Callithrix jacchus: one gene and its partners. The protein of the gene in region 5 interacts with the protein of the main gene of each other region in a pairwise test. Links are inferred from orthologs where the notes say so. Each region holds a gene or a part of one and is shown on either strand. Other genes may lie near its edges.

Evidence for each region.
Region 1: the proteins of PPP1CB (region 5) and PPP1R3C interact in binary tests that used the Homo sapiens proteins (3 or more experiments, as listed by UniProt). The two-hybrid records come from large-scale screens. The link is inferred for Callithrix jacchus from reciprocal best matches to the Homo sapiens genes PPP1CB and PPP1R3C.
Region 2: the proteins of PPP1CB (region 5) and PPP1R16A interact in binary tests that used the Homo sapiens proteins (3 or more experiments, as listed by UniProt). The two-hybrid records come from large-scale screens. The link is inferred for Callithrix jacchus from reciprocal best matches to the Homo sapiens genes PPP1CB and PPP1R16A.
Region 3: the proteins of PPP1CB (region 5) and SH2D4A interact in binary tests that used the Homo sapiens proteins (3 or more experiments, as listed by UniProt). The two-hybrid records come from large-scale screens. The link is inferred for Callithrix jacchus from reciprocal best matches to the Homo sapiens genes PPP1CB and SH2D4A.
Region 4: the proteins of PPP1CB (region 5) and CSRNP2 interact in binary tests that used the Homo sapiens proteins (3 or more experiments, as listed by UniProt). The two-hybrid records come from large-scale screens. The link is inferred for Callithrix jacchus from reciprocal best matches to the Homo sapiens genes PPP1CB and CSRNP2.
Region 6: the proteins of PPP1CB (region 5) and PPP1R7 interact in binary tests that used the Homo sapiens proteins (3 or more experiments, as listed by UniProt). The link is inferred for Callithrix jacchus from reciprocal best matches to the Homo sapiens genes PPP1CB and PPP1R7.

The regions. Positions count from the first base shown.
Region 1 is NC_133513.1:84,419,308-84,423,598, forward strand, and holds the start of PPP1R3C (protein phosphatase 1 regulatory subunit 3C), read right to left. Parts: upstream 2,801-4,291; 5' UTR 2,698-2,800; coding exon 2,684-2,697; intron 515-2,683; coding exon 1-514. Other genes in the region: uncharacterized protein LOC144578709, read left to right, coding at 3,066-3,215.
Region 2 is NC_133517.1:53,155,588-53,159,638, forward strand, and holds the start of PPP1R16A (protein phosphatase 1 regulatory subunit 16A), read right to left. Parts: upstream 2,801-4,051; 5' UTR 2,639-2,800; intron 1-2,638. UniProt on the Homo sapiens protein: Inhibits protein phosphatase 1 activity toward phosphorylase, myosin light chain and myosin substrates.
Region 3 is NC_133514.1:22,193,852-22,197,990, reverse strand, and holds the start of SH2D4A (SH2 domain-containing protein 4A), read left to right. Parts: upstream 1-1,339; 5' UTR 1,340-1,482; intron 1,483-1,641; exon of another isoform or gene 1,642-1,735; intron 1,736-4,139. UniProt on the Homo sapiens protein: Inhibits estrogen-induced cell proliferation by competing with PLCG for binding to ESR1, blocking the effect of estrogen on PLCG and repressing estrogen-induced proliferation. May play a role in T-cell development and function.
Region 4 is NC_133510.1:68,357,963-68,361,945, reverse strand, and holds the start of CSRNP2 (cysteine/serine-rich nuclear protein 2), read right to left. Parts: upstream 2,801-3,983; 5' UTR 2,432-2,800; intron 1-2,431. UniProt on the Homo sapiens protein: Binds to the consensus sequence 5'-AGAGTG-3' and has transcriptional activator activity. May play a role in apoptosis.
Region 5 is NC_133515.1:86,258,310-86,261,809, forward strand, and holds part of PPP1CB (serine/threonine-protein phosphatase PP1-beta catalytic subunit), read right to left. Parts: intron 1,510-3,500; coding exon 1,358-1,509; intron 1-1,357. UniProt on the Homo sapiens protein: Protein phosphatase that associates with over 200 regulatory proteins to form highly specific holoenzymes which dephosphorylate hundreds of biological targets.
Region 6 is NC_133507.1:162,440,723-162,444,222, forward strand, and holds part of PPP1R7 (protein phosphatase 1 regulatory subunit 7), read left to right. Parts: intron 1-989; coding exon 990-1,120; intron 1,121-2,382; coding exon 2,383-2,545; intron 2,546-3,500. UniProt on the Homo sapiens protein: Regulatory subunit of protein phosphatase 1.

The DNA of each region.
Region 1 (4,291 bases), on a different chromosome or scaffold from region 5:
TTTGACTTTTACAGTCCCTGTCACTGTTCGCTCTTGCAAAGAGCAGTTCTCCAGACAGACAAAGTTCTTCTGAAAGTGGTTCCGGAAACTTAGGTAATCAGTTGAAGGCTGAGGGAAATCTAAAATCAAGTTTTTCTCCTCATGGAGTTTTAAGCCAGAGGAGATATCATTAAGGTCCAAGAGATCAAACTGGAGATCCCATGCTGGTTCTTCTGGGATGTCAGAGAAGACATGGATCGCGGTGAGAGAGAGGCCCTTGGAGTCAGCAAACACAACGCGCTTCTTGGCTTGGTTGTGCGAGCACTTCCAGTCGTTCTGTGATTTGGCTTCCTGTTTTATGTTGAGACATGGTTTCAGAGGCTTTAATTTATTCACAAAATGTCTTTGTTGAAAGTCATTGTAAGGGCCCAGGAAACTCTTCACGGGCGGTGAATGAGCCAAGCAAAGCCTCATAGCCACATCCACTGGCATGACTGAACTTGTCAAAGGACGTGGATCTAAAACCTGGATCATTCTGGAATGCAAAGGGAAGGGGGATTATCACCTGGATCGGAAGTGCTCTTCCCCAGTGCCAAATGCATATGTACTATTTTTGTGCTGAATGACAGCCAGTGCACTAGTATCAGGCAGGTGCTGTCATATGTAGTAAAAGAGAACAGTATTAAGTGATCAGATCTTCTTTCTATGGTTACCTTTACCTTTGGCTGGCTAAAGGCTGACTAAGTGTTAATTGCTTAAAACACTTAGAGGGGAATGGGGTCTCAGTTTCCCCATCTGAGAAATAAAAGTGTTCTATTTGATGATCTCCAAGGCAGTCTTAAGAATCATGTGCTCTGTTCTGGAGCACATGATTGTGTGGTCCTCAAACCTGTCTGGTCACCATGCCTAGGGAAGTTCCCTCCTCCTTCCCTCCCTCCCTCCCTCCCTCCCTCTTTCCCTCCTTCCCTCCTTCCTTCCTTCCTTTTCCTGGGACTTCATGCCTCAGGGAATCCCTTCCTCCCTTCCTTCCCTCCCTCCTTCCTTTTCCTGGGACTTCATGCCTAGGGAATTCCTTCCTTTCCTTCCTTCTTTCTATCCTTATCCTGGGACTTAGAACCACTGAAGCAGAACTTCTGGGGCTAGGGCCAAGGGATGCACATGTTCTTAAAGCTTCCCAGGTGATTCTAATAACCAGACAAGTTCAGGAGCCACAGTTCCAGACCCTCTGCTCCCTCTGGATGCTTTGGTTTATTTTGCTGCTAAATTGATTGACACTTCTCTGGTAATTCACTTGAAAAAAATAAAATTAACATGCAACAGTTTTGACAGTGAGAAGGCTAGAGAAGCCGAAGAATTCTCTTTGCATTTTATCATGCTCTTCCTCATTTTTCACAAATAACCACTGAAATACAAGTCAACAATTCATGCACTTAAAAACTGTGTGTAATTGATAGTTCACCTAAAGAGATGCCCATGACAATTCCACATTTAAGTGGAAAAACTGATTACCTGAAAGTTGGAGTGTTTTAAGATATACAATATATATATATGAACTTGTAAATATTGAAAAACTCTATAGGAAATATGTCTTTCCTAATAATATAATAATTATTATCTCTGGGTGATAGGATTATAGATGATCTATTTTCATTTTTGTTCTTTTTTGGTATTTTCTAATAGGCATTTATAAGTAGAAAGACAATAAAGCTATTTAAACTTTTAAAGATGAACATGCTCAACAATATTAAACCAAGAAGCATTCATAAAGAAGACTTTTTTTCTGGCCTTTAGTCCTCATTAGATATTTCCAAGCTTATGGCATTAGGATTTTCCCCCCATCTTAGCCTTACACGTAAGAGGTGTGTGTATACTGTACATGACATTTCTCAATCTGGCTTTAGTAACTCTCCTCACAGCAGCTCTAAACATGTATGCAAGTGGTCATTATCACAAAAATGAGTAATAAAGAACACTCACAGAATTTACTGTATTAGCTCTGGGGTTTTTTTGGGAGACTTGCAAACTTAGAACAAACAAATGAAAGCTAAAGCTATATTTGTGGGTCTAATAATAGTTAATAGGCAGGATTTTTAGAGAAGTCTTCTGCTAAGCTATGTCTGGAGAAGCTATTTAAAGTATTTTATGGGAGGTTTTTTTTTCTCTTTGACTTTTTGCATTTATAGAAGGACAGTTTTAGTATTGGGTGATTTCCCTGGAACTTTAAGTCCTGGACAAGAGTTAAAAATAATTGCTCAAACTCTTGAGATTTTGCTATGGCAAACTGTGATAAGAAGGATGAATGACTACAAACATCGTCCTGTAAATTTTTTCCTCCAAGCTAAACCACCTAACCAGCAATGTCAGAGTGCTGTTCTCGCCACTTTAGCTGCCCGAGTCTTTGGCACATTTGTGCAGGACCAAAAGAACAGCCGCATCCCTGAGAAAATCCGAACCCAAGCTGATTCACGTTAAGGTCATTTCTGCTTTAATTTGCTTATTTCTAAAATAGGCTCTTCTTAAGAAATAGAGCCAAGTTTCTATACCTCCAAGGCCTCTCTGTTGCCAGATTCAACTAAGCAGTCAGCCCACTTGTCCTCCCCTGGGGTGTCCCTTTCCAGAGATGACAGAACTGAAACGCCCTTCAACTTCCCCACAACTGCGCGTCCCCTTGTGTTCCCGGCGCGCAGAGTTGCAGCGAACCTACCTGGTGCAGCTCATTAGGCAGAGAGGCGCAGCGGACCGTGAAAGCCAGCACCCACTGCCTGCACAAATTTCAACCCCAGCTACCTGCCTTGCCCCGCGGCGATCGCTGGGACGGAATGAAGGCCGGGCGCTGAGACGGCACTTATCCGCTCCGAAGCACGTGACCCGATCCCTGGGACCAATCGCCGGGCCTCGGACCCCGTGGCGCGACCAACCAGCGCCCAGCTAGGGCACGGGCCCTCGGCCCGGGAACGTGATCGCCCCCGGGCCGGACGTGCAGAGCGCGAGCTGGGCGTCCCGGGAAGGTTCGGGGACTCCCGGGCCAGCTGGACCCAACCGCGGAACGGGAACCCTGGGCCAGGGGCCGGACAGGCACGTACCGCATGCAGCGGGCGCGGGCCAGGAGAGAGCGCAGCCAGCTCGCCCAGGAGGGGCGCCAGTGCCTCAGGCTTGGGGCGGCTGTTACTCGCGAATGGCTTTGTAGGTCAGTGCAGTTGAATCTACACACAGAAGATGTGGCTCAGTCCGAATGTGTATGTATCGCATTTGAAATGTTTATGTTGTTCATTGCCCGCTGTATCCGCGTTTCTCCCTCACCTTAGCCTGAGCGACCCCAAACTGGTTGCATGCTTTTGGTTAGGATGAGTTCACAGATGCACCCCACAGTAGACAGCTGCCAAGAATTACCAACTTATCTAACAAATGTCGTTAGGAAAGCATACGAGCCCCAGAAAACACAGAGGTGGAATTAATTAAAAGACACTTTGTATTTCTGTCTATTCTATTTTCTCCCCTGAGAGGGACACTAAAGCCGAAAGTGAAATGACCCTTTTCACCCATAGAGCCTGTCAGAGGCAGCAGTCAACCCAAACCCCTCACTCAATTCTGAGGTCCTCTGGGAGTGGCATGGAAATCAAAATGTTAAAATACAATTTTAAAAAGCACGCTGTATGTTTCATGAGTCCTCTGAGTCAGTCACTTTCGCTAAGGTTTCATTATTTTGCTCAGTTTGGGGATTTTTTTTAGATCATCATCTACAACCGTAAAATTAAATGTCTATCTAAGTCAAGTCTAAATTATTCCCATGTCCTAGTTCTGCTTTACTGAGATATCCATTAGTCAATTAAAATATACAAAAATTCCTATGTCTTTTAAACAACTGTCAAACAGTGGAATTGTTAAAGTGGAGTTATTAGAGTGAAGAAAAAAAAGATCACACTGAATATCATTGGGAAAGGCACTTCATGCCTGGGTTTTATTTGTGAAATGTCTAACTCATGGCAGGTCTTCAAGCCCCCTTAGCTCAACCAAAACTAGCTGGAAGGTCTTTGGATTGACACTAGCTACATAAATGTAGGCAAGTTCTAACCTCAATTTCTTCATGTGGTGCCAATGAACAGACTCAGCATAATACCCAGCTCTTGTGTTCAACCCTGGCTAGCTCCCAAGTTTCTACTTGATCTCTCAGATAGAGGTTTTACTCTATCACCTCAAGACACCTGGTGCCTGAGCTAAAATATTGAAAATAGCTGCTGCTTGTTGAGCCTTTACTCTGTGTTAAACACTGTGTGCTATCGATTCAGTTCTCACAACCCTATGTGTTATGCCA
Region 2 (4,051 bases), on a different chromosome or scaffold from region 5:
GAGGGAGACTCCATATCAAAAAGAAAAAGGAGGTCGGGTGAGGTGGCTCACACCTGTAATCCCAGCACTTTGGGAGGCCGAGGAGGGTGGATCACAAGGCCAGGAGTTCAAGACCGCCCTGGCCAACATGGTGAAACCCCATCTCTACTAAAAGTACAAAAATTAGCTGGGCGTGGTGACACACGCCTGTCGTCCCAGCTACTAGGGAGGCTAAGGCAGAAGAATCGCTTGAACCTGGGAGACAGAGGTTGAAATGGCCTGAGATTGTGACACTGCACTCCAGCCTGGTGACAGAGCGAGACTCTGTCTCAAAAAATAGAAAACAGATAAAAAATTAGCTGGCATGGTGGCATGCACCTATAATCCCAGTTACTGGGGAGGCCGAGGCAGGAGAATCATTTGAACCCAGGAGACAGAGGTTACAGTGAGCGGAGATCGCGCACTACACTCCAGTCCGGGCAACAGAATGAGCCTCAATCTCAAACAAACAAAAAGTCAGAAAGCACATGGTTAGCAAAGCCTAAGATGTTTACTACCTAGCCCTTGACAGAAGAAGCTGGCCAACCCCTGATCTAACACATTTATTTGGTGCTACCAGCTTCATCATCACCCCCACCTTCATCAGCTGCTCCTTCTGTCTGGAAAGTTCTTCCACCAGATCTTAGGATAGCGTGTTCCTTCTTGGGACTTAGATAACATCTGAAGTGTGACCTCCTCAGAGTTCTTCTGTGGTTACCTTGTTATTCTCTTACCTCATTGCCCTGTTTTAATTCTTGACACGTCACTTACTGTTTGTTTACCTGCTGCATCCTCAGAACCTGACTCACAGGAAGCACTCACACTCAGTAACTGCAATGGGCTGAACAGGTGAACAGCTGCTGAGCCTGTGGTCCAGGGGTCCCAGCACCAGATGTGACATGGGAGGCTCTGAGCTCATAGCTGAGCAAGTCTGATGAAAAGGCCTCACTTAGGTGTGCGTGCACCAGTGCCAGCAGAGCCTCGGCATGAGAGAGAGAAGAACCTGGAACTGCCACCCAGTTTTCATTTTTGCGAACGAATAGATGTGGCACAGTGCTAGGGCAGGACACACTGGGGGCAGAACAAGGGTGGAGCTGGGGGTCTGGTGTAATCTGTGGGATCAGCTGAGACTGAGGTTCCTAAGCTACAGGCAGTGGAGAGTTGTATCAATTGGCTGCTTATTTAGACCAGAGGTTCAAGAACCCCCAGGACATAGACCCCCAAAGTGAAGACATACAGGAGGAGCCCCCTTGCTAGGTACTTGCTAACCCAGGCAACCCTCGGGGCAAAATGGAGTGCAGATACATCCCAAGCAGGTGAGGGATAAGGCCAGGACAGGGCAATCAAGAGACAGGAGGGATGGTCCCAACCAACAGGGAGGAAATCCAGCTCAAACACCAGGAGGGGAAAGGACCCCTAAGGCCTCCACCATCCCATCTCAAGGCTGGGAGACTTGGGGCAGGGGCAGGCAGCTAGCCCTGCAGAGCTCTGAAGGTCCACCACAGGGACACGCATGGAGTCAGCCGGTGTGCAGGTCTACTAGGCAGCCCCCAGCTCCTCAGGCAACCCAGCCCCACGCCGCCTGAGCTCCTCTGGGACAGTCGTGGCTCTGGATCCCCGAGGTGAATCAGGCAGCGCTGCCAAAGGCCTCTTCAGGAGGCCCAGGGTACTGCAGGCAAGACCCTTTTCCCAGGGAAAGCCCAATATGACCAGGAAGCAACTGGGGCACCAAGACGCCCAGGAGGGCTCACTGCTGAGCTAGACACGCTTTGAAAAAGGCAGCGGTACCCCCGCCTCCACTTCCACCCCCAAGTAGGGATACAGGATGAAAAGGAAGGCACAGAGCTTTGGGGAGGGCCAGCTTTGCTCTGGCTCCCCTAAGCCTAGAGTGACTCTGTACACACCCGTCTCTGCACCCATGGAAATTAATCCCGTCGTGCCCGGGGCCTCCGCTCTGATACAGACAGGGGCCCACACCAGTCCTGGACACTCCTTCCCAGGCGGGGTGCTTGCTTAGTTAATTCTTGCCCTGATCCCATTTCCTGAGGGGTGGCCCGGGTGCCCAGCACTGCAAGTGAGGTCACTTTAATCCCCGAAAGCTGAAGGAACTTCCTTCAGAGAGACTCCACTTTCTCCTTCAGCCTAGCTCCAAAGCCCCCACAAAGCTTGGGTAAGTCCCTTCTCTGTGGCCTTGATTTCCTGATCTGAAAATGTAGATAATTCCGGAGTTGTCTACTTGACCGGCAGGCTGCGGAGAATCCACACACCTTTACCTTGGAACAAAATGCGAAGCAGCCTCCAGCTCCCAGCCTTTCCTGTCCCTTGGCACCTGCTGCCGTGGGACTCAGCCAGCAACGCCCAAGGCGGCCAGGTGGGACCTGTGCCCTGGGCGCCCGCGTGACGGCAGCCGCGTCTCCCGAGGGCCCCTCCCTGGCCTCCTCCCTCCGCAGCCTCCTCTCTCCCCTGGGCTTCCTCCTCCCTCCCTCCCCTGAGCCTCATCCTTCCCCGGCCCGGCCCCCTCTCTCGATGTCGACCCAGTGCCCATTCTTCCGCTGTGCCCAGCCGGGGACCCTCTCCCTCGCTCCGCTCTCGTCACAGGACCCGGGACTCCGCGCCTCACCTCGCGCCCCGCACCGGCCGCCGCGCAAGTGGGTCCGCTGGCTTCCGCGGGTCAGTGGGCCCCGCGCTCCCAAAGGTGCTGCGGGGGCGGGCCCCGCGCCCGGCCCTCGCCATGGCAACGCTACACTTCCGGCCCGCATTACCTGTAGCCGGAAGCCGCAGTGCCCCGTGGGAGCCGGGGGCGGGGACTGGGGGGGAGGGACATCGGGGGCGGGGTCTGGGGAGGGACATCAGGGGCGGTGCCTGAGGAGGGACGATCAGGGGATGCGGCTGCCGGGGTCCGCTGCGGGCGGCCAGGCGATCCTTCTGCGGCTGCGACCTCCTCGGGCCTTGGGTGAGACGGCGAGCGCTCAAAGGCTCCTGGGACTGTGGTGGAAAAAAAACGAGTCATCGTTGGCAACCGGATGGACGCCGGCGGAATGAGTGGCAGTTTTGGGGGTGTTTCAGCCCGGGACACTGAGGTCGGAGAGGAGCGGTCGGAACTTGGGGAGCCTCCAGCGCCCCACCAAGGAGGCGCCAGTGGAGAGGGGTTCCTTAAGACTTAAGGGAAAGGCCCAGCGAGGTGGCTCACGTCTGTGATCCCAGCACTTTGGGAGGAGGCTGAGGCCGGTGGGTCGCTTGAGCCCAGGAGACCAACCTGGGCAACACAGGGAGGCCTTGTCCCTACCAAAAAGTGAGAAATTAGCCGGGCGCTATGGCGCACACCTGTAGTCCCGGGAGGCTTAGGCGGGAGGATCGCTTGAGCCCAGGAGGTGGAGGCTGCACTGAGCCCAGATGACACTACTGCACTCCAGCCTGGGCAATGGAGCGAGACCTTGTCTCAAAACAACAACAAAGACTTGTGGGAAAGAACGACGCCTTGCTGACCGAATGGGGTAAGAGGCCACGAGTATTTCGCCTCCCGAGATTCAGGACTTTGCAACCTTAGCCTAGGGAACACACCAGAGAAGGCCTCAGCGTCGAGGTGATAACCGGAGTCCTGAGGGAAACAACAAGAGGTCCGAGGGGTGTGGCGGAGATAGAGGGAAAAGGGTGGCACCCCACAGAAAAGGCTCGGTCCAGCCCAGGCTCCTCCTCCAGGACACCCGCTGCCAGTCCCTCCCCTCCACACCTTGGGATGGGCTGGGCTCCACCATATACTTCAGATTTTCAGCCTTTTGAGGTGATCATGGTGAGGGCTGAACAAGAAAAGCTGAATTCTCAGAGAGAGCAAAAGCGTATTCCTGGGCCCCCATGTGTCCAGGGGCCCTTAGCTCTGCTGCCAGCACCAACCCCTGCTGCTAGTGCCCAGAGCTACTGTCCTCTTGGGCAAACTTGCCCCTTGTGAGGGAAGAGAACCTGGGATTTGGGGCAGAGTACCTAACACCAGCCTTGCTCGGACGGAGGGGCAGAGACGCTGATCAGATGGCTAGGG
Region 3 (4,139 bases), on a different chromosome or scaffold from region 5:
ATTTAACCCTCTTAACAATGTAAGGAGGCAGGCACTCTTTATCCAGAGGAGGAAACTGAGGTACAGAGATTAATAGCACAGTGCCAGAGCTATTATAAGAAAGGACTGGTCAGGAGTTGAAGAGAGACTGGATGTGAGGAAGGTAACTGACCGTCACAGTGTCCTGTGGGATTTTTACTAAATGATAAACCACCCTGTATAGTTCTTCAACTGATCCAGCCATGCAGGGGTAGGATTCATTTGGATCTGGCCATAGCAGCTTTCCAGGGGCCAATCCCACTTCAGCCTAAAGCACCCCATAGGTTATCATTTAATCCGCAGCGGGACTAAGCCTTAGACCAGAAATTCCTCCCTAATGGGCTCCCTGGAATGGTTCCCACATAGCTGGGGGTCCTTTACTGACAATGCTGCCTGCCCTGATGCTTGATGTAACTCAGCCATATCTTCTGCAGTTGGGAGAGATGGGGAATGACATTTTGTGTTTGAACCCAGCAGGTCAGGCTCCTGAAGAGGTCAGGTAGGCTGTAGAGAGGACAACTGGTGATTACTGTTTATTACATGACACTAAGTCCCCAACACACGAAATCTGGGGTTCCCCAAAACAGACGGTGTTCTTCCACATGCTCCTCAAGGATGGAAAATGCCCTCCAGTGGAAATGCCTTTCCACTCTGCTTCTGCTGGATTTTCCTCCAAGATTTCCTCTAACTGTGGACTGCCAGCTCCTCCCTGATGTCTTCAGGCACCACCCAACCTCTGTTCTTGCTGCAATCCACAAGGCTCCTATCAACATCTTGACTTTCCCTCCAGTTTTCTTCCATTTTCTCCCCCTATGTTGACTGCGGTCTCCTTTCCCGCCTTTCTCCTTCATCTTGCCCTACAAAGCCGCACCTGAACCACAAGTGCCAGAGAGTTTGATCATTTACCTAATGTCAACAAAAGAAAAAAAAAGTAAGCTCTAGAGCCGGCTTGGCCTGAAGCACTCAAGCACAGTTAACAAGTGGGGCCAGGGCACCCTCCTACCCTCCACCTCGCAAGGAACTCAGAACTCTGAAACGGGGAAAGGGCCAGGCCTGCTGATTTAATCTATGTCCCGCAGTCTCCAAGAGGTCACAGACTGCAGATCCCAGTCTCCTGAAGTAAGAGAGGAGAGGACTACCGCAGTTGGAGGACAGCGCGAGGGCCAAGCGGCCCAAGATGCGCAGGCCACGCAGCCTCACGGACAAGTGGCCCTGGAGAGCCTCCAGGCACCCGGGTGGGGCCGCGATCGCGCTCTCAGTCACCCTAGCCTGTGGGCGCGGCAGGGCGGCGCGGGCGGGCCGGCTGCCGGAGCTGTTTGGCGTCTTGGCCTGAGTGTTTGCCCAGCCCGCCTGCGTCGCTCGGGGCGGCTCGGCCTTTCCCTCCCTCCCTTTGCCGACGGCTTCTGGCAATCAAGTGGATGTGGCGGGCGATCGGGCCACCTAGCCCAGGCGCGCCCAGCACTGGTAGGTGCTGGGGGTGGTGAGAGGCTTTGGGGAGAGAGTGCATGGGGTGGGAGTTGGGGGAAGGGAATTTCCTCCGGGCTTGCAGGGGTACCTGGGAGGTGCACGGCCCAGAGCGGGCGGGCGGAAGACTCACCCCGCCTCCACCCCTCCACGGCGCGCGGGGCGGGCTCAGGTGCGGGGCTGGGCGCCTAGCGCGGCCGCGGAGTGTCCGGTGTCCGGTGTCCGGTGTCTGGAGTCTGGAGCCGCTGGCTGGGTGAGTGGCGGTCCCCGGGGCCCGGGGACTTGCAGGGGATAGCGGGGTGAGTTCCGAGGGGGAGGGTCTAGCCCGGGCTCAGGAGACTTTTGGGGAAGTTCTGGGATCTGGCGAGGACTCGCGGCTCGTGCTTCCACCCGCGTGGAGTGCAGGCCGGGAGACGATCCGGGCTGGCCTGGAGTTTCTAGACTCCTAGCAGGAGCACAGCCCCGTCCTTCGCCCGGAGATCTTCCAAGAGGGAAGTCCTGGGAAGCGGTGGCAGCCGGCTCAGCACCCCTGCAGCGCGTTCCCTGCGTGCCGGCACCCAGGGGCGCCCCCACGTGGGGTCGGGGCGCGCGCGGAGGCACGTGCAGCGCAGCCTCCCTGGGCCTCAGACCTAGACATGGTGCCCAGTGGGCTCAACCAAGGGCGCCCCTGCCCACTGCTGGACTCGGGGGTCACGCGGGCCCCGGGAGGAGCCACAGTTTGTAGATTTTCTGAGTTGTCTCTCGCTTCCCTGGACGCTTAGAGAAGCAGCAAGCATGGAACCTCCCCTTTTCAGACAGGTGCTCCTCATTGCTGAAAGAGGCTTTTGTTTGATTGCTGTTTTAATAGAAACAACGACTTGGGTACCATTATTGTTAAATAGTGAATAAATAAGTGTAAAGTATACAGGGGCATAGATTTGGCATGAGTGGAATTTTCTAGGTATACTAAATCTGTGTGTACAGTAAACTCAAATTTCTGAAGAATAGTATATACTTGCAAAACTTGCCAAATTTCTGTCATCTCTAGTAATTTGTTTCATGGTCCAAAAACAGCCCTTGTGCTGGTAGATGCATAAGATAAAGTTTGAATAAGAAAGTAAAGTTGGACCACAGAGCTGGCTGTTTTAAAGGAATTAGAATTCAGACTGTGTTGTTAATGTATAGTTACACTGTCGGTACTACAATACTTTGTTATTTTTTATTTTATTAGGTCGGTGCAAAAGTGCGTTTTTTCATTATTGTTTTGTTTTTGTTTGTTCGTTTTTGAGACGGAGACTTGCGCTTTTTAGCTCAGTCTGGAATGCAATGGTGTGATCTTGACTCACTGCAGCCTCCGCGTCCCAGGTCCAGGTTCAAGCAATTCTCCTGCCTCAGCCTCCCAAGTAGCTGGGATTACAGGCACGTGCCACCATGCCTGGCTAATTTTTGTATTTTTAGTAGAGATGGGGCCAGCTGGTCTTGAATTCCAGACTTTGTGATCCGCCTGCCTCAGTCTCCCAAAGTGTTGGGATTACAGGCGTGAGCCACTGTGCCCGGCTGTAAATTGCAGTTTTTATGGCCAAGAAAAACAGTAACTTTTTTTTTTGCCATAAAAACTGCAATATTTTTGCACAGACCTAATATTTTTGAGACAGGGTCTCGTTCTGTCACCCAGGCTGCAGTGCAGTGTATGATCTCAGCTCACTGCAGCCTCAAACTCTGCAGCTCAAGCAATCCTCCCACTTCTGTCTCCCAAGTAGCTGGGACTATAGGTGCAGGCCACCACACCTGGCTAATTTTTATATTTTGTGTAGAGACAGGGTTTTGCCATGTTACCCAAGCTGGTCTCAAACTCCTGAGCTCAAGCAATCCACCCACCTCCACCTCCCGAAGTGTTGGGATTACAGGTGGAGCCACTGTGCCCGGCTTACTCTTTTTATGATTTAGGCTGTATCTTAGGCCTTTTAAAATTTTTATTTGTTTAGGCATCAGAGTTATCCAAAAGACAGTTGTATTAACACTGTGAAGGTGTGAGAATCAGGCCAAATCTATGGTAGCGTGGAAAACAGCTGATTCTCTCACCCTTTAGCAATTGGTGTTCAGAATAAATAGCAGGTGTGGGCTTGTTGCTTATCTTTCTCTTAAGAATGGTTTTGTGTTAGCTAGCTTTTCCTTTATTGGATCTTGAAAAACTGGAGGTTTGCTGCACTTGATATTTTATGGGAAAGTCCTTTGAATTTGAATCAGTATCAGCAATGATTATTTGTCCTTGTCAGAGAGTGAAAGTGGGAAAACCCGGTTAGTTAATTTCCTCATTTCTATTTCTTCTACCCTGGCTCTACCAGGCTCTTTCACTTCACAGTAGATTATGTCACATAAACCACATATTATGAGGAGTCACAGACTGAACTGGCCCTCATTTCACAGATGAGGAAACTGAGTCCCAAGAAGGTGAGGTGGCAGCCTAGAGTCACACTGCTCATTAGAGGCAGAGCTGGGAATTGAGGCTGAATTCCCTCTGGGTGTCTTGGATGCACTGTGCTGAGCTTGAGTTGGGGTCTGAGAAAGGCTTGGGGTGGGGGTTAGGGGATGGGAATTTAGGGGTGAGAGGGAGAGGTAATTTACACCAGCACCATTCAGCAGCTGCAGAATAACCACATCGTCAACAGCCTGACCAC
Region 4 (3,983 bases), on a different chromosome or scaffold from region 5:
CTCTGATGTGAACTTGACTTTTAGATAAAAGATGTTCACTGGGCACCAAGAACAAACCTCCTGTTCACTTCCATAGTGCCCCGAAGAAATCCTTCTTTGGGAGGCTGAGGCAGGAAGATTGCTTGTGTCCAGAACTGCAAAACCAACTTGGCCAACATAGAGAGACCCTGTCTCTGTATTTTAAAGAAATTGGCCAAGTGCAGTGGGCCACATGCCTGCAGGCCCAGCACTTTGGGAGGCCAAGGTGGGCAGATCACTTGAGGCCAGGAGTTCAAGACCAATCTGGCCAACATGGCAAACCCCACCCCCTGCCTACTAAAAATACAAAAATTAGCTGGGCATGGTGGTGTGTGCCTGTCATCCCAGCTACTCCGTAGGCTAAGGTGGGGGGATTGCTTGAACCCAGGAGGCAGAGGTTGCAGTGAGCTGAGATCGAGCCACTCTACTCCAGCCTAGGTGACAGAGCCAGACCCTGTCTCAAAAATAACAAATAACGATAATTTTAAATAAATCTTTTTAAAAAGAAATCTTTCTTTGCAACAGTAACAATTAAAATAGTTTCCATACTTTCCAATTCATCAAATCAATCTTTCAAACTACAACTAGAAATCAGTCATTCCTACCTCTCTAACCTATTCATTGGTAGAGGATCAATATCTGTGTTTAAGAGAGAAACTTCTAAGTTTTATAGCCTGGGAATGCAGGTGAAAACTGACTGTTAACTGTCAAAATGACCAACTCAACAAATGCTTTTGGAGAAAACAACGCAACCCTCTATAAAAGCTTTTAAATCCCAGTGAAATTAAAGGTCAGCTGACACTTTCTGGCTACATGTCTTGTGGTCTTTTTTCAAGGGTTTCTGGCTGAACATTTCCCAATGGTATATGAAATAGTTAAGATCCAGAGCACAGAAGACATTAGGTTAGCACCGTATACACAGGCTACCAGCATATGTGTATTTTACTACTAGATCTAATTTTTTTTCCGGCCTATAAGGACTCCTATAATCACCAAAACAAACAAAATTTTTTAAAACCTAGAATATGTGAGACCAGCAAGAGGGACTGGCCCAAGCAATATTTTCTAGAAAAATGTATTTGCAAAGTTTAGGTAATACAAGTTTCTTTCTTAAATTAGTCCAAAATAATAAGCTACATCTCACAAGGAGAAAGCCTCTCCACTCAACTGGAATCCAACCTTTTGCTTGCTAAAGGTCAAGAAACCAAAATCTCTTGGTTTTGGGTTTTTTTGTTTTTTTTTTTTATGATCAGGGCTGCCATCTGTAGCTGGGTTGGAGGAAGGAAGGGTTGCTGCTGTGTTATGATAAACCTGAATAATAATGACCTGCCCTGTTTCCCCTTTTACAAGATACTGTGGTTGATTCTCAAATACTATAAATTTGATGGACCCATGTCTTTGTGATCACCAGGATCATGAACTTAGAGAGCACTCAAATGAAAACCCTCCATTTAAGCTAGGTATTTAAAGAAAGCCGTGCACCCACCACCCCCACTCCCCATTCACTAACACAAGGTTAGGATTTGGCTTTCCATGCCTAAACTACCATCGTGTGGAAGACAGGAGATCTTTGTGGGAACTGGAACATGATGCTGCATTAACTCTCAAGGATATGCAGTCATTTATCACACCGGCACAACCAACATCCTGGCTTTGGAGATTTACAAAACAGCCAGGAAAGAAAAAATTGGAACTATGGATTTACCCTGAACTGAAAACTGCAGGACAAGGGGACAGTGTTGTCTTTTGGGGATAACTTCTAGCATTTCATATTGAAGAACAGTTCGTGTGTCACACTGCCACTCTCAACCCCTTTAAAAGGATGAATCAAGACCGCAGCACTAAAAGGGACGGGTGGCAGTTGGCTGCATGTTTGGGCCTATGAAAAAAGATCAAGCTAGCAACCAGGGGAAGCGATGCTTTCCTTTTCCTACACGACGCCAGAAATATGGGAAACATCAGGAACCGGAGAGAAGGGACATGTCAAGTCACCAGTTCCCTTTAATGAACACGCCTGCGGAACCCTTCAGCTCTCGGCCCACTTTCCTCTGATTCCCGCTAACCTTTCCGCTCATTCCAATCCTCTGCAGCCCCTACCCAGCCTTCCTCATCCCTTCCTGCCTGCTACTCACAAATTCCCAACCACTCCTCCCACATTTTCCTCTGTTCCCCCTCCCCTTCCTTCACTTTCCTCCATCCTACATCATTCTCCACTCCATTCCGAACTCAATCCTCATCCGCAATCCTGCAGGCTTCCAAGCCGCCCATCGGTCTCCCTCGAGCTGCCCCCGCAGTCCGGGCCCGCGTCCTGGGTGCCCCTCGCTCCCACGCCTCTTCCCGACGCCGTTCCTTCCCAACGGCACCCGACCTCCCTGCCCCCCGACCGCTCCCGTCCGAGCCTCTCATTTCTGACCCCTCCATCCGCACGGCTCTGGGCTTGACCACTCCTCCACGGCCGCCCGAGGGCCGATCCCGAGAAAGGACGAGGCGGCACCCTCCGCCCCGCACCCCTAGGCCCATTACCGGCCCCGCCGCAGCTGCCTCCTCCGGTGATGGTCTCTGCCGCCCCCGCTGCCGCCGCCGCCCTACCCCGGGTGGGAAGAAGGGAGGAGCGAGCGAGTCCCGGGCCCCGCGGCGACGGCCCGGGATCTCCCTGGGCGGCAGGGCGCAGAGGGAAGGCGGTGGGCAGCCCGGCCGGCAGGCAGAGAGGGCCGGGCGGCTCCGGCAACTCTGGCGCCCCCAGCAGCAGACGCCCAGAACCGCCCGGGCTCCGGCTAACAATAGGCTCCGGCCGCAGCGCTCTGTCTCTTATAGGCGCCGGCACGTCCTGCCCTAGCCCCGGGGCGGGCTGGGAAATGGAGTCTACGTGCCGGCCCCACGCCCAGCGGCATGTCGGGAGTTGTAGGCGGTGACTGCTGCAAAGCCTAAGCCGGCGGGCAAACCTGCTCCGGAGGCGGTGGCCCTGCTGCAACCTTTTAATGGGGGAAGAGAGGAGCTTCTCAACTACACATCTTAGATAACTAAACGAATTCTTCTCCAAAGCTCCTCCAATTTTCCTTTCGCCGGACCATATACTCCTTGCTCATGGGGTCTTAGTCTTCAGCAATATGACTTATTGCAGCCTACCCAAGTTATAAAGAACACAAGCAATATCTTGAGTTATATACTTGTATGAGGGACTGCTTTGAGTGTTTTCTTTAAAAAATTTTTTTGCCATGATCTTCTCAACTTTGCAAACTATTCTATTTATTTATTTAAATAGAAAAGGGGTTTTCACCAGGTTGCCCAGGCTGATCTTGCACTTCTGGGCTCAAGCTAGCCGCCTGCCTGGGCCTCCCAAAGTGCTAGGATTATACACATGACTCCCCGCGCCCATCCGCAACCCGAGACGGAGTCTCGCTCTTACGCCCAGGCTGTAGTGCAGTGGGGCGATCTTGGCTCACTGCAACCTCCGCCTCCCAGGTTCAAGCAATTCTGCCTCAGCCTCCCGAATAGCTGGGATTACTGGAGCCTGCCACCACGCCTGGCTAATTTTTGTATTTTTAGTAGAGACAGGGTTTCACACTGTTGGTCAGGCTGGTCTCGAACTCCTGACCTCATGACCCACTCGCCTCGGCCTCCCAATGTGCTGGGATTACAGGCGTGAACCACTACGCCCGGCCAGAATCCATTTTTAAGAAAGATCACTTCAATGATCTCCTGATCCAGGGCTGAGACCTCAGGAACTTACTTGTCTCTCTTTTCTCTCTCCTGCAGCTTGATGGAGATACCTCTCACTGGGCCTCTTTGAATCCGATTCATCAGATGTGTGACATAGGCTGCTCTCTTGTTGCGGAGCTTCTTGCTAGAGATAATGGCGACCTCGCACACGCGCTTGTTCGTGTGGAAGCCGTTGCCCATGCGCGTGTAGTACTTTTCTATGATGACCCGGGCCGTCTTCTTCAAGGTTTTGGTGCAAATGCGGC
Region 5 (3,500 bases):
ATATACTTAATTAAATATGCTTTTCTAAGTAATTCAACATTATGTGTGCATGATACAATATGCTACAATGTGAGCCACTGTACAAAGCAATCGAAATTCAAAAACAAGTCATAATCCCTTCCTTAGACAGTATGCTATCTAGTAGTGGAGGACATAAAAGACAACCAAAAACCCTACTGTATAAATGCTTTTATAATGAAAAATTTAAACATACACAAAAGTAGATCAAGATTTCAATTAACTCCCATTAACTGATCACCCTGATTCAATACTTACCAGGATTTTGCTACACTTGTTTCATTTATCTTCCCCCTCCCCTTTTCTTTCTGCTGATATGATTTTAAAGCAAATCCCAGGCATGTTATTTTACCTCTACACACTTGAGTATGCATTCCTGGAAAAATACAGACATTCTTCTTAAATAACAATAACGTTTATGACACAGCTAAAATAACTGATACCAGCTGGGCACAGTGGCTCATGCTGGAAATCTCAGCTACTTGGGAGGCAGAGACTGTAGTGAGCCGAGATTGTGCCACTGCACTCCAGCCTGGGTGACAAAGTGAGACTCCATCTCAAAAAAAAAAAAATCCAAATAATGTCTACAAAGCTTCTAAGAAGCACTGCAATTTTTGTTAGGGTTGCTGTATACTAGAAAAATACATTCTTTTTTTTTTTTTTTTTGAGACTGAGTCTTGCTCTTTTACCCAGGCTGGAGTGCAGTGGCATAAATATGGCTCACTGCAGTCTTCACCTCCTAGGCTCAAGCAATCCTCCTACCTCAGCCCCTCATGTAGCTGGGACCACAGGTATGCACCACCACACCCAGCTAAATTTTTGACTTTTTGTAGAGATGGGATCTCATTTTGTTGCCCAGGCTGTCTCAAATTCCTGTGCTTAAGTAATCCGCCCACCTCAGCCTGCTGAAGTGCTGGGATTATAGATGTGAGCCACCATGCCCAGCCCCAAATGTTTTGAAATGTTTCCTCTTTTAGGGTGATAAAAGGTTAACAAATCATTAGATTGTTAAGTGTGAGATCCAGGAAGTGGCTCTGCTGCCTCTCCTACTGCTTTCCTTGTACAAGTCACTTAGCTTTCTTGGATACATTTCCTCAAAAAACAAAATAAGAGGGCTTATGTGAAGTTAACAAATAATAAGTGTTTAAGAGTACAGGTATGGTGGCACAAGCCTATGCTCCCAGCTACTTGGGAGGCCGAGGCACGAGAATTGCTTGAATCTGGGAGGTAGAGGTTGCAGTGAGCAGAGATCACGCCACTGTATTCCAGCCTGGGCAACAGAACGAGACTCTGTCTCTAAAAAAAAGAAAAAAGAAATTGAGAGCATCATATTTCATACCTGATGAGCTCGACAAATCAAATCTAAATCATGACGATTCAGAAATTTACTGACTACATCAGCTCCAAAAGTAAAGGAAACACCACGATCATTTTCTCCCCAGCCTTGCACATCCTTATCTGGATCAGACCACAGCAAATCACAGAGCAAACCTTTAAAGGACAGAAATACAGCAATTAAGAAAAAAATTTATAGATTCATAGAACATAGCAAATCTACATCACATTTCAGTTCCTCTCCTGCCCTCTTACCTTTTACTAAACAATGACAATCACTTGCCCAAATATTCCAGCCTATGTAACTTAACACTTTTGGGAAAGCAACCATACAGATATAATCTTCCATGGCCTCTTAAGGTAGAACTTTCCAACCCTTTCCACGTATAGGAAATATGTGTATGGCACACTTACAACAACAATATATGGAAAAGGCTGTTCATCTTTTGTGTACAGTTTCTCCATATGAATAACGAATGAACCCAGCGGTTATTTCCTCAATAGTTCATCCTTTCTTTATAGTTCCACTGTTTCTGAGCACCACAGTCTATTCCGTTAGTCTATTTTATTTATCCCTGAGCCAATAACAGACTAGAGCTTTTAACAAGTCTTTATATTTGGTAGGGGTAGTATCCTTTTTTTTTTTTTTTTTTTAAATTCAGGATTGTCTTGATTACTTTTTGATCCTTTATTCTTCCATATAAACGCTAAAAACGATTTGCTTAATTCCATAAAAAATTCAATTGTGATTTCAATGGAATTGTATTCGACATATAGATCACTTGAGGAAAAAAAAACATTTTCTACTAAGGCCCTGAGGATTTTTTTTTTTTTTTTAGTGTGGAGGAATAAAATCCGATCAGATCCTTGACTTTAGTAATGTTTGCGGCCCTGAAAAAGAGGTCAGAGTTAAAAATATTTATCTGGGTATTGTCATCATATTAATGGTAGCAGGTATCTTAAGAAGGGACCCAGACCACCTTGGGAATACAAAGTGAGAATACCAGTAAATTAATTTTGAGGAATTCAAACATTTAATAGGCAGGCAGATGAGGGAGAATGAGCATAAATATTAGGGAGAATGAGCATAAATATTGGGAAGGAATGATCCAGACAAAGAGATGAGTACAGTAAAGGTTATCCTTAAAGGGGACAGAACCGCCTAAAAGCAGGAAATGTGCCATGAACAAGTAGACAGGACAAAGACCAAAAATGTGCCACTTACAATTATATCATCAGACTTTAATGAAAGCAGTTTCTTGGTAATTGAGTGTAAGAGAGTAGGTAAAAGTCCAATTGCAGTGATATTAAAAGTAGGGTGAATGTTGAGATGGTGATAGTAAGTGATTTTCTAAAAATTACAGTGGCTAAGAAAAGATATTTTTTAAAGAGTAAGTCAGTTTTAAGAATTTTAAAGAATCCATAAAAATCATAGTATGGTTTAGGAGGAAAGGGCATCTTCATTTTCAGTTACATCATATCCTGATAGAGGAATTATAAAACCATTTGCAGAATTAGTGGCAATGTACTCTTAATTTCTATTGCTGATATGTCCCAAGCTCCCCCTACGATGTTCTAAGAAATTCACTAGCACACAAAATCCACTGGAATCAGTCAATCGCAATTTGTATGCCCCTTCTGATTGATGCTGACTCTTCAAAAATACACACCCACCCAGTGCTTAATAATGCTCTCACACTTTCCAGCCTGTTTCCAGAGATGAACCACTGAGTAGAAAGCTAAGGTATTAAGAATCTATAATTGGCCAGGGGCAGTGGCTCATGCCTGTAATCCCAGTACTTCGGGAGGCTGATGTGGGCAGATCACGAGGTCAGGAGTTCGAGACCAGCCTGGCTAATATAGTGAAACCCCATCTCTACTAAAAATACAAAAAAAAACTAGCCAGGCATGGTGGCATGTGCCTGTAGGCCCAGCTACTCAGGAGGCTGAGGCATGAAAATCGCTTGAACCCAGGAGGCGGAGGTTGCAGTGAGCCGAGATTGTGCCACTGCACTCCAGCCTGGGCAACAGAGGGAGGCTCCATCTCAAAAACAATAACAACAAAAAAAAACCAAAAACAACGACAAAAAACCCCCATAATTTCAGTGACAATAAAACTGTATAAAATTAGGTTTAGGAAACAGAAT
Region 6 (3,500 bases), on a different chromosome or scaffold from region 5:
AGGACTGTCACAAGGGAACTGTGACACTCAGGAACTGTCACAAGGGAACTGTGACACTCAGGACTGTCACCAGGGAACTGTGACACTCAGGACTGTCACAAGGGAACTGTGATACTCGGGAACTGTCACCAGGGAACTGTGACACTCAGGAACTGTCACCAGGGAACTGTGACACTCAGGACTGTCACCAGGGAACTGTGACACGGGAGCTGTCACAAGGGAACTGTGACACTCGGGAGCTGTCACAAGGGAACTGTGACACTCGGGAGCTGTCACAAGGGAACTGTGACACTCGGGAGCTGTCACAAGGGAACTGTGACACTCGGGAGCTGTCACAAGGGAACTGTGACACTCACCTATGGGATGTGGATGAGTCCCGAACTGAGCAATTAGTCCTAAGTTGTGGTCCTTGTCCCAGCCTGTGGGAGGTGGGGCTGGCTCCACCTTGTGGAAGTCTTTCTCTACTGGAAGCATAGTGGGTGTGAGACAGCAGTCAAGGGACTTGAGGCCTGGCCCTGGGGTAATCACTGCTGAGCTCTGGCGGCCAGGGAATCCTGACTCTGGCCTGCCTCATTTCTGCGCCTGTGTTCAGTTAAGCCCTCACCGAATCTTACGGCCCTCAGTGCATCTCATTTGAATTTGTTTCTCAAAATCAAGCCCACTAAGGACTTTAAGGCTCTGCCAAGAGTGGTACATATCCACGCCCCAGGCCAATGCCTCCCTCCCTAACTAGGCCTCTTGGTGTGGGGCCTGCCTCTGCCTCCTGCCTCCCTTTGGGTTCCTGCTCATCCTTAGGGTGTGTGGAGGAATTCTAGCCTAGTGCCCTTGCCCACCTGCCTCCCAAAGGTCAGCGCCTTTCTCGGAAACAGCAGAAGAATAAAGACACATCCTTCCACCAGAAAGGCCTGTCCTGTGTCCTCCAGCACCAGCTGAGGCCTTCTCATGGCCTCCCCCTTGCCTGTGTCAATTGTCCTTTTCCCATCCCCCAGACTCTCTGCCTCCGCCAAAATTTAATTAAATGCATTGAGAATCTGGAGGAGCTACAGAGTCTTCGAGAGCTGGATCTTTACGACAACCAGATCAAGAAGATTGAGAATCTGGAGGCGCTAACAGAGCTGGAGTGAGTCATGAGACCCATAGGAGAAGGTGGTGGGGAGGCCACTGGATGGGGGGTGTCCAGTCTCTCCAGAGCCAACCCCCTGCTGGCTCTTGGCCCTTGAGAGGCTGCCTCTGCCACAGGGTCCTGCCCTGCATGCGAATCCCAGGCCTTTGCCTGCCATATTCAGGGATCCAGGAGGCCGAGTCAGCTTCATGCATGTCTTCACCTTCTTGGACAATCCTGACTTGCAAAGTACATCTCCGGTGGGAAGGCTGCAGTGGGACTTCTGGAAAGCCTCCATTCAGGGATGATACTGAGATTGGTAGAGGAGAACGTTAATCCAAAATTTCCTGTTACCTTTTGAATTTTTTTTTTTAATTAAGAAAAGTGACATTTCTAATATAAGGAGTCAGGTCCTCAGCCAGGTGCAGTGGTGCACACCTGTAATTGCAGCACTTTGGGAGGCCACATTGGGAGGATCACTTGAACCCAGAAGTTTGACATAGCCTGGGCAACATAACAAGACCCCGTCTACAAAAATTAAAATTAAAAAAGGAGCCAGATCCTAGTTATAACTTTACCTGGATTTCTGCGCCTTTGTTGCTCATTATTTTTGTTTGTTTTGTTTCTAATTCAGTACATATCAGGTCCCTTGTGTGTGCAGAGCCTGGTGCTGGAGGTCTCGTCACGGGCACAAATGTGAATGAAACACAGTTTCTGCTTCAGATACCATGCTGGGAGCCAGGGCATCAGGAGCCTGTAGGCTGCCACTGGCTTGCTCTGGGCTCCTGGGCAGCCTCCAAATCTCTCATGATAGCATCAGTGTGGGCCAGACACTAGCAGGGGCACAGTCAGACCCCCACCCCCGCAGTGACTGCAGTCACCTGATGGGGATGCCACTTCTAAGGTGGTGTGAGTTCTATGCAACCTATGCTCTTGTAATTTTTTTTTTTTTTTTTTTGAGACAAGGTTTTGCTCTTGTTGCCCAGGCTGGAGTATAATGGCACAATCTCGGCTCACCACAACCTCTGCCTACCTGGTTCAAGCAGTTCTCCTGCCTCAGCCTCCCAGGTAGCTTGGATTACAGGAATGTGCCACCACTCCTAGCTAATTTTGTATTTTTAGTAGAGATGGGGTTTCTCTGTGTTGGCCAGGCTGGTCTTGAACTCCAGACCTCAGGTAATCCACCTGCCTCAGCATCCCAAAGTGCTGCGATTACAGGTGTGAGCCACTGTGCCTGGCCACTTATGTAAATTTTTTTTAACTGTTTTGCTTGTTCTCAGGATTCTAGATATTTCTTTTAATCTGCTGAGAAACATCGAAGGGGTTGACAAGTTAACACAACTGAAAAAACTCTTCTTGGTCAACAATAAAATCAGCAAAATTGAGAACTTAAGCAACTTACATCAACTACAGATGCTAGAGCTGGGATCTAACCGCATCCGGGTAGGTGTGGGAGAGGCAGCTAACGGGCTATGTAGGGGCTCAGTGGGTGTATGTAGAGTGCATGCTGAGCTTCATTTGTCTTCCGCTGTGATTTTTTCATGAACAGGGAAATTATCATTTTTAAAGAAATGCTAACTGGAAGTCAGTATTAGTAAGCCCTAACTGAGTGGTCTAGCCTTTCTTCTGCACATAGATTTCAGTTGCTCTTCATCCAAATCATGATCCTAAATCACACCATTCCCAGTTACATTCTGCCGGCGATGAACCAACCTACTGAACGCCTTGCTCTTGACCCCACTCATGGTGACCTCTGCAGTGCTTCTTTGGGATGAAAGCTTCCCAAGCCCAGCAGAGTGGTCACTTGAAGTGAACTGACATACACACCAGGGGCTTTAGAAAGTGTCTTGATGGTGACACACTCCCGAAGGCAGTGCTGAAGTGGGCCTTTCTCCCTACGCAGCTTCATACTCCTGGGACACAGTCCCCAACAGGGTTAGGTCTGTTCTCCAGGATCCATTTGACCTTGAAAACCTGGGACACAATGGAAATAAGAGACTTTTGAAAGGTGATCTGCTGTTCCACAGAAGCAGGAGTGAGCCTTCATCAGCTGACTCATCGCCACCGTCATGTGCTGGAGGGGAACCTGGGAGGGTGTCCCAGAAGGACTGCCACTGGGGATGGATCTGCCAGGCAGAGAGGAGGGAGGGTTCCCATGGGCAGGGAGGAGGACTTCTGTCAGCTAGAAGAGCATTGGAGCCCCATGCCCAGCTCCTAATAGGGGTCATGGCACAGAGCCTGTGCTTCCCTTGGCCTTGCTTAGTGGCTCCGGCAGGTGTTTCTGAGCACGTCTGCCCCTGCCCCATGTTCCCAGATGCCCCTCTGTTTGGCTTCGGGAAGTATTACAGCATGCTATGTCTGTCCTGGGCCCTTGAGAGCTTGGACAGGATACAAACCA